Linked DNA regions of Macaca mulatta. The protein of the gene in region 2 interacts with the protein of the main gene of each other region in a pairwise test. Links are inferred from orthologs where the notes say so. Each region holds a gene or a part of one and is shown on either strand. Other genes may lie near its edges.

Region 1 (3,500 bases), on a different chromosome or scaffold from region 2:
ACGTTTGAGGCTATATTACTACCAACTTTTACTTATTATTTTTTTTTTTTTGAGACGGAGTTTTGCTCTTGTTGCCCAGGCTGGAGTGCAATGGCGCCATCTCGGCTCACGGTAACCTCTGCTTTCCAGGCTCAAGCTATTCTCCTGCCTTAGCCCCCCAAGGAGCTGGGATTACGGGTGCCTGCCATGATGCCTGGCTAATTTTGTATTACTTTAACTTTTAATGGTCTAATTTTATATCTTAAATATATAAATTAAGTCCCCAAGCTGATTCTACTACTTAAGTAATCTGTTTTGGAAGCAGAAATTTTAGAAAGGTATAGACTTAAAGGATATCTTTCATTTTCTTTGTCATCTGTTAACTCAAACAGCTGCTGAGCACAATCCTTAATTAACTCATCCAAAGCATCTTCCATTGCTGATAAGTCAGAAAGTTCCTCTTGCAGCTTCTTTTGTTGGGGAACTGCTCCAAAATTGCTAAGATCAGATCCTCTTTAAAAGAAAAAAAAATCACCACAAAGGAATTTCAAGTTAGGTTACTGGAACTTCTCCAAATGATTACCATAAGTGTTTTCCACAACAATAGAAACTAGGGACTTTTAACTTCTGCTATCTTCGTTCTAGACAGCCATTATTCCTTCTGTACATACATTTATAGTTCTTCATCTTATACAGTCTTTTTCAAAAAAAAAAATACATTACAACCTAACAGAAATTAATAACAGCAGAGACAGCCTAAGAAAGCAAAAGGGCACTGAACTAAGAGTCAATAACACCTAGCTTCAGCCTCAGTCCTAGTCCTTACAACATAGCTTCTGATAAGTTATAATCTTACAGTACTTGAGTTCCTACATATGAAAACAAAGTGTTGGCTAAATGACAGTTCCTCTGCTAAAATGTGATGAGTCTGTATTTTTCCCTAGTGTACACATTCTATCTGAATATAATGATTCTATTCATCATTTTAAAAAAGACATTATTTTCAGGCCAGGCATGGGGCTCACGCCTGTAATCCCAGCACTTTGGGAGGCTGAGGCAGGTGGATCACCTGAGGTCAGGAGTTCGAGACCAGCCTGGCCAACATGGTGAAACCCCGTCTCTACTAAAAATACAAAAATTAGCCAGGGGTGGTGGTGTGCGCCTGTAATCCCAGCTACTGGGGAGGTTGAGGTGGGAGAATCGCTTGAACCCAGGAGGTGGAGGTTGCAGTGAGCTAAGATTATGTCACTGCACTCCAGCCTGGGTGACAGAGCAAGACTCCCTCTCAAAAGAAAAAAAAAAAAGATATACATATTTTCCTTAGTAATTAGTGCCTACTCCAATATGATGACCAGGCAACAACTGATTTTCATTTTTTCCTTTCAATCTTAATGGAAAATAAATAGGGAAAGGTTCTTGCCTCTATCTTTCACCTGGCAGTTTTCAAATCTGATTCTAATTAGTGATTCACAATGCATGCCGATACAAACTCCTAAAGTGTTTTTTAGTAAACATGCTCAAATTAGAATTCAACCTATACTTCCATACTATTGAAAAAATGACCTCCTTTATGAATCCCTTTCCTCTAATAACTACGTTAATTATTTAGGATCATTTTACAGTCTTTCTTGGTAGGTTTGCATTTGCCTGAGAGGTCACTATGTACTTATTTGCTGCAACGATTTCTCCCTGTCCCAAAATACTTGCCTATTCTAACAGCTTTCTTCTTATGTGTGCACGCACAGATACCTTTATCTATGCCAGTCTTCAGCTTCCCTTTCCATTGGATTCCTCCTCATCATGTCAAGTCTTTAGCAACTGCCTTTTAGACACTGTCTGATTTTTCTTTTAATATTCAGGGCAGTGTTTCAAACACCTCGCTACGTCATAATCTCCTGGGCTACCTGTTGAGAATGTACTTTCCTGCTTTCCCTCAGATCTACCGAATTACACCTCCAGAGGCAGTAAGCCTCTAGGTGTTTACTACACGGCCGTGTGAAAACCACTGTTTTACAACCTTCACAGATTTTCCCAATATCAGTAATCAACTGGAACTGAGGAAATACTTTTTAAAAAATGTATGTACTCTCCAGGATGATGCGAGAAAATTTTACAGAATTCTCTCCTAACAAGAAGTTGTACCTTTGTTTTCTATTGTCAAAACATTGCTACTATCTAGTTTAAGCACGGAATTGTCACTTGATGAGAAAGAAAAAAAGCCATGAAAAGTTTGAAAGCAACTCACATCCATCGAATATGGTTCTTGGATTTCTTTTCAACGAGGTCGATTCCATCTAAGACATTGGTGATGTCATACACTCTCCGCTTGCGGACTCCCAGTTTCGTTGCAACCTTGTTTAAGTCAAGAATACCCCCAGGAGCAGATCTGACAAGATCCATAAATTTTCGAGTTAAATAAACCAGTGATACATCAAAACGAGGTCTCTTCACTTTTAGAGCTTCTGGGAAACAAAATAAACATATTTGTAAAACTTTAAATAACATTTCTCAACTCATTTTAAAAAATCATCTGTTTCCTCTTGATCAGAGAGCAGACATCTACAGAAATCCCTACACATTGACCAAATCAAAGCTGGTTTCTATGAAATAAATCTCTTAAATTGGAGAAAAAATTCACTGGCCTATCCTGGCTCTAAACAAAGGCTTTAAATTTAAATAAAGGAGTATTTGAAATATGCAACCAGTGTCCACTGAGCATGTGGACTTTTACAAGTCTACAGCATCTTCTCAGACAAAGCAGTGAGATTACATTTGCATCCATACCACTCTCAGGAATAGAATTACACATGGTTTTTAAAATTAAATTTCTCATTTGGTCTTCAAGTGAAGGAATTCTTTACTAAGCAAAGGCAGAGAACTGGCTTTTTGTCCCCTTTTAATGACTCTATCCATGTCATAGTGTAAGTTGTCTGACCAATGTTTTGAAAGAGCTCAAACTAGTCTTCTATTAAGGCAATGATGACATACCTCGGCCAACAGTGGTATCTCTATTTTTTCTTTTCTTTTTTTTTTTTTTTTCAGACAGAGTCTCACTCTGTCGCCCAGGCTGGAGCTGGAGTGCAGTGGCGCGATCCTGGCTCACTGCAACCTCCGCCTCCTGAGTTCAAGTAATTCTCCTGCCTCAGCCTCCGGAGTAGCTGGGATTACAGGCGTGCACCACCACGCCCGGCTAATTGTTTTGTGTTTTTAGTAGGGACAGGGTTTCACCATATTGGCCAGGCTGGCCTTGAACTCCTGACCTTGTGATCCACCCGCCTCAGCGTCCCAAAGTACTGGGATTACAGGTGTTTGAGCCACCGCGCCCGGCCCACTATCTCTATTTTTAAAAATATTCACTACTCTGTATTAATGTAACGGATAGACAAATGATAAAAAATCCCTTTAATTCCCTCACTCACCTACTATGGCTTGGGTTTTCATACACACACACACCCCTCTAACACACTCACACTTGTGTGTCAATCATATATATAGTTTTTAAAAACAAAAACAGGACCATG
Region 2 (4,104 bases):
AAGATCGCGCCACTGCACTCCAGCTTGGGAGACAGCGCAAGACTCTGTCTCAAAAGAAAAAGAGCTAGAGAAAACATCAAATTCCTTGACTTGTCCACAATCTCCCTTTCCAGCCAGACCCAGCACTCCTGACCACTCCCAGACTTTGAGCAGGGAAGGCCTCACCAGCTGTAGAATCCTATTCTCCTCCCAGCGCCAGCCCCCAACTCAGATCATAACCCCTGAGCGCAAGGTAAGCCCCCAGGCCCTGTGCCTATGCAACCCCTGACAAATGCCGCGTCTCAAATGCCAAAACTGGATAGAGCATTTGGAGTCCCGCAGAGTCGGATCACCTTTCTGTATGCCCCCGACCCCCAGCCTCACACTACATGCTGTTCACATACAGTGCCAATGAAATCAAGGGGGAATGAATGAGGGCCCCGGTGACACCACCCATTATGTATCAAAGCGTGTTTAAGAACCATTTGAGGAAACCACACAGGAAACCACACAACACCAGAAGCGTGCTCTAACCGAGGCCCTGGGCCCAGCTCCTCACTGTGAGGAGACGTAATGAACACGGCTGCGCGCTGAGCACATGGCCACATCTGGCATTCTGAGTGCATGCACGCATGAGGTCAGGGCATGGTACGGACAAGCACAGTGGATAGGGTAAAAGTAGCCTCGCAGCACACCCAGATATGACTTCAAAAACCCACATTGGGTCCACCTGTGTGCTCATATGCCCTCTCTAAAGCACATCCCAGTGCTTGAAGCCAGGGACACCGTGTGACGTAGGTGGTCACAGGTCAGGGAGGGCAGACGCCCCACAAGGACTCACAGGGACCACTGAAACCTCTGCGTCGATGGAGAGGGTTCCACACTCCGGATGCATTTTCGCTACAGCTGTATCAACAACCCCTTTCACTCACAGTTACAGAGCAATGCGTGATGGGAAACACTAAGGAATCCAGCTTGCTTCAGTGACCAGCATTACCAAGCATAGTAAAGAACCACACGCCAATAAAATAGAGTACATTTCTGGCCTTAAAAGCCTCGATCCCCACACAAGTTTAAAAAATTATTCAAAATATTCTATAGTTTCATGACAAATACTAAGCAGGCTAAGTAGCATTTCTTACCAGATTTCATAAACCACCAAATCTCATCCTTCTGAGAAAAAAAAGTGGCCAAAACAATTGCTTAGCTCTTGGTCCACCCAAGTGGAATTAACTTCCTCTATAGAAAGACAGGTGCCAGCAGGTGGCTACAGTCTGAGACCTAAGCCTGGCCCCCGTCCAGGATCTTATGTGGAAGCCCCCAAGAAATGGAGGATTCGCTGCGGTGCTGCAACACCCTCCACCTCAATTTAATAAGGAGTTTATTCAAAATTAGCAATTAACACAGTCGGTAAAGATAAGGAGAAAGTCAGAAGGCACCACCCCATCACCACCCAACTGCACAGTGTGGTATCCAAGGCCACAACTTGGGGGTGGTGAGCGCAGTTTCAGAGATCAGATCCTTCCATCTTTCACCTTCATCCCGCTTCAGATGCTTTAAAAGTCTGAAAATAAACACTACTGTAGCTTATGCGTTGTCATTCTGAAATAAAGGCAGAAAACTACAAAGAATTTAGTGCGAGGCAAACATTCGTGTGCAGCATGAAGCAAACATACTTACATCTTTTGCCATGTTACCAGATCCGGGAAATAAATGCTACAAATGTTCACCTTCCCAGAGAAGAAAAATGATTTTTCTGGTAAAAAAAAAAAAAAGGAAGGAAAAACAATAAATAAGTAAGAATGAAAAAAGAAGTTGAAAAAATAACACATCTCAAAGGAAACGTGGACCTTCCTTCCCAAAGGCACCCTCCATCCTGAGAGCGGAGCTGGCCAAACCGACTCCCACACTGAGGATTTTAAGTCGCCTCGTCAGACGGAAATGTCCCCTGCGCAAAAGTGGCCGGCGGGCCCGCAGGGTCACCACCACGACCCCCAGGTCCCCGACGGCCCGCCCAGCGGCCGAGGGTGGGGCTGAGCCCCGGCAGCCAGGGCGCAGCGCCTCCCTCCCGCCGCTGCAGGGGGGGCCCCACCACCCACCTGGGCGCAGCCCCAGGGTCCCGGCGCAACGTGCAGGCTCGCGGCGTCCACCCCAGACCCCGGCGGCGCCCGCCTGGCTGACCGGTAACTCTGACAGGTGGGCTTCCGGGGTCCGCGCCGCGCGCCTGTCACTAGGCCTCGGGCCGCCTCCGCACGAGGCGCCTCCCGCGCGCGCCGGAACCGGGTCCCCGCGGGCCGCCGTGGGGCGGCATCCCCTCCCCCGCCCTGCGCGCTCCGGCCGACCCTGGCCCTGGCCCCACCTCCGGCGCGGGGCGCGGGCGCTGCTATCGGCCAGGAGGGCCAGGCCCGGGACCCCCGCCCCGCGGTCACCTGGGGAGCCCCCACCAGCGCCGAGCGCGCGGGGTCCCCGAGGCACAGGAGCGCGCGGGGCGCGGGAGGGCGCGGGAGACCGCGGGTCGGGGCCGCGCGGCGCCTACACGCGGCCGGGGCACAGGATGGGGTGGCCGGGGGTCCCGCCCGCACCCCCGGCCCCCGCCCGCGGCTCCCGCGGCATCCCCTGCCCGCCCGCACCTGGCTGCCCGGTCCGGCCGCGCGGGCGGGGACGCGGAAAGGGCGCGGTGCGGGGCGCGGGGCGGCGCAGGGAGGCGCGGGCGGGGGCCGGGCCGGGCGGTCCCGGCCGTGGCGGGGTCCCTGCCCTGGGCCGAGCGGCGCCGGGACGCGGGGCTCACCCTGGCCGAGCGTCGGGCCGGCGTGACGTGCGCGCGGCGCGGTGACGTGGGCGGCGGCGGGCCCCGCAGCGCGCCTGCGCGCCTTTTCGCGCCTTCGGCGCCCTCCTCCTCCTCTTCTGCAGCTCCTCGGTCTCCCGCTCCTCCCGCCAGTGCTGCGCGCCCTGGGAGGGCGGGGAGGGGCCGTGCGCGCGTGTCCGCGTGTGCGCGTGCGCGTGCGGAGATGGAACCGGGGCCTGCGCCGGGACGGGCAGTGAGCGCGCGCGGCGTGCGCTCGGAGGCCAAGGGGCCGCGTTTGTGCGCGTCTGTGACGGTGTGTCTGGAGAGAGAGGTGGCCGGCTGTGTGCAAGAGTGTGTGTGCACATGGGGGAGCGGGGTCGGCTATGTGCACGAGTGTGTGTGCACGTGGGGGAGCGGCGACTGGTGTGTGCACGTAGGGGAGCGAGTAGTGTGCGCACTAGTGTGTGTGCATGTGAGGGGGCGGGGACTGGTGTGTGCACTAGTGTGTGTGCACATGGGGCAGCAGGTGGGGGGCCGGGTGTGTCAGGATGTGTGTGCAGGGAGCAGAGAGTGCCGGCTGTGTGCATGTGTGTAGGGGGGAGCACGGACTAGTGTGTCCAGGAGTGTGTGTGCGAATAGCGGGGCCGGGTGTGTGCTTGAGCTCTCTCTCACAAAGGAGAGACAGCCAGCTGTGTGCGCGCCTGTATGCACGGAGGGAGGGGGCCGCTTGTGTGCACGAGTGTCTGTGCACATAAAGGGCCGACTGTGTGTGGGGCTGTGCATGTATGGAGAGCAGGTGTGTGCACAGACGTGTGTATGTGGACACACGGAAGAGAGGTGTGTGTGCGTGCGTGGCACAGAGGCCGCTGCCTCTGCTGGACCCGGTGACCTCCAAGCCCATGCCTGGCCTACCCCCAGATTACCAACAATTCTGGGTGTCCTCTGTGCCCACTGGACGCAGCCTGGCCCGGGACTCGGGAGGGAAAGCAGGGACAGGAAAACTCCAGAAACAGTTTCATTGCATGGTGAGCCTGGTGGTCCCCGAGTCCTGGAGACTCAGTCCACCCTGGACGGCCCCGCCGCTAGGGCCAGGCCCGAGCACCCCAGCCAAGGGCGGGCTAGGCCAGAGAAGAGTCCAAAGTTCAGGGCCACAGCTGGCGGCAGAGGCCGGTGCGCACCGAGCGTAAGTCTAGGAGGACTTGAGGAGCTGACCAAAGGCCTCTCTGCCTATGCAGGGTATTATTACATGACAGCCCGCTTTGCACATTTTATGCTGATTTTGGCCACTCCTGCTCCTCAGGCAAGGCCGCACGCCCTAAAGTTCTGGTCACCTGGCTTCA

Evidence for each region. The genes of interacting proteins can lie anywhere in the genome.
Region 1: the proteins of TFDP1 (region 2) and E2F6 interact in binary tests that used the Homo sapiens proteins (3 or more experiments, as listed by UniProt). The link is inferred for Macaca mulatta from reciprocal best matches to the Homo sapiens genes TFDP1 and E2F6.

What each region holds. Positions count from the first base shown.
Region 1 is NC_133418.1:113,381,897-113,385,396, reverse strand, and holds part of E2F6 (transcription factor E2F6), read right to left. Parts: intron 2,442-3,500; coding exon 2,225-2,441; intron 493-2,224; coding exon 337-492; intron 1-336. UniProt on the Homo sapiens protein: Inhibitor of E2F-dependent transcription. Binds DNA cooperatively with DP proteins through the E2 recognition site, 5'-TTTC[CG]CGC-3'. Has a preference for the 5'-TTTCCCGC-3' E2F recognition site.
Region 2 is NC_133422.1:107,803,460-107,807,563, reverse strand, and holds the start of TFDP1 (transcription factor Dp-1), read right to left. Parts: upstream 2,801-4,104; 5' UTR 2,768-2,800; exon of another isoform or gene 2,610-2,767; intron 2,334-2,609; exon of another isoform or gene 2,079-2,333; intron 1,736-2,078; 5' UTR 1,672-1,735; coding exon 1,660-1,671; intron 1-1,659. UniProt on the Homo sapiens protein: Can stimulate E2F-dependent transcription.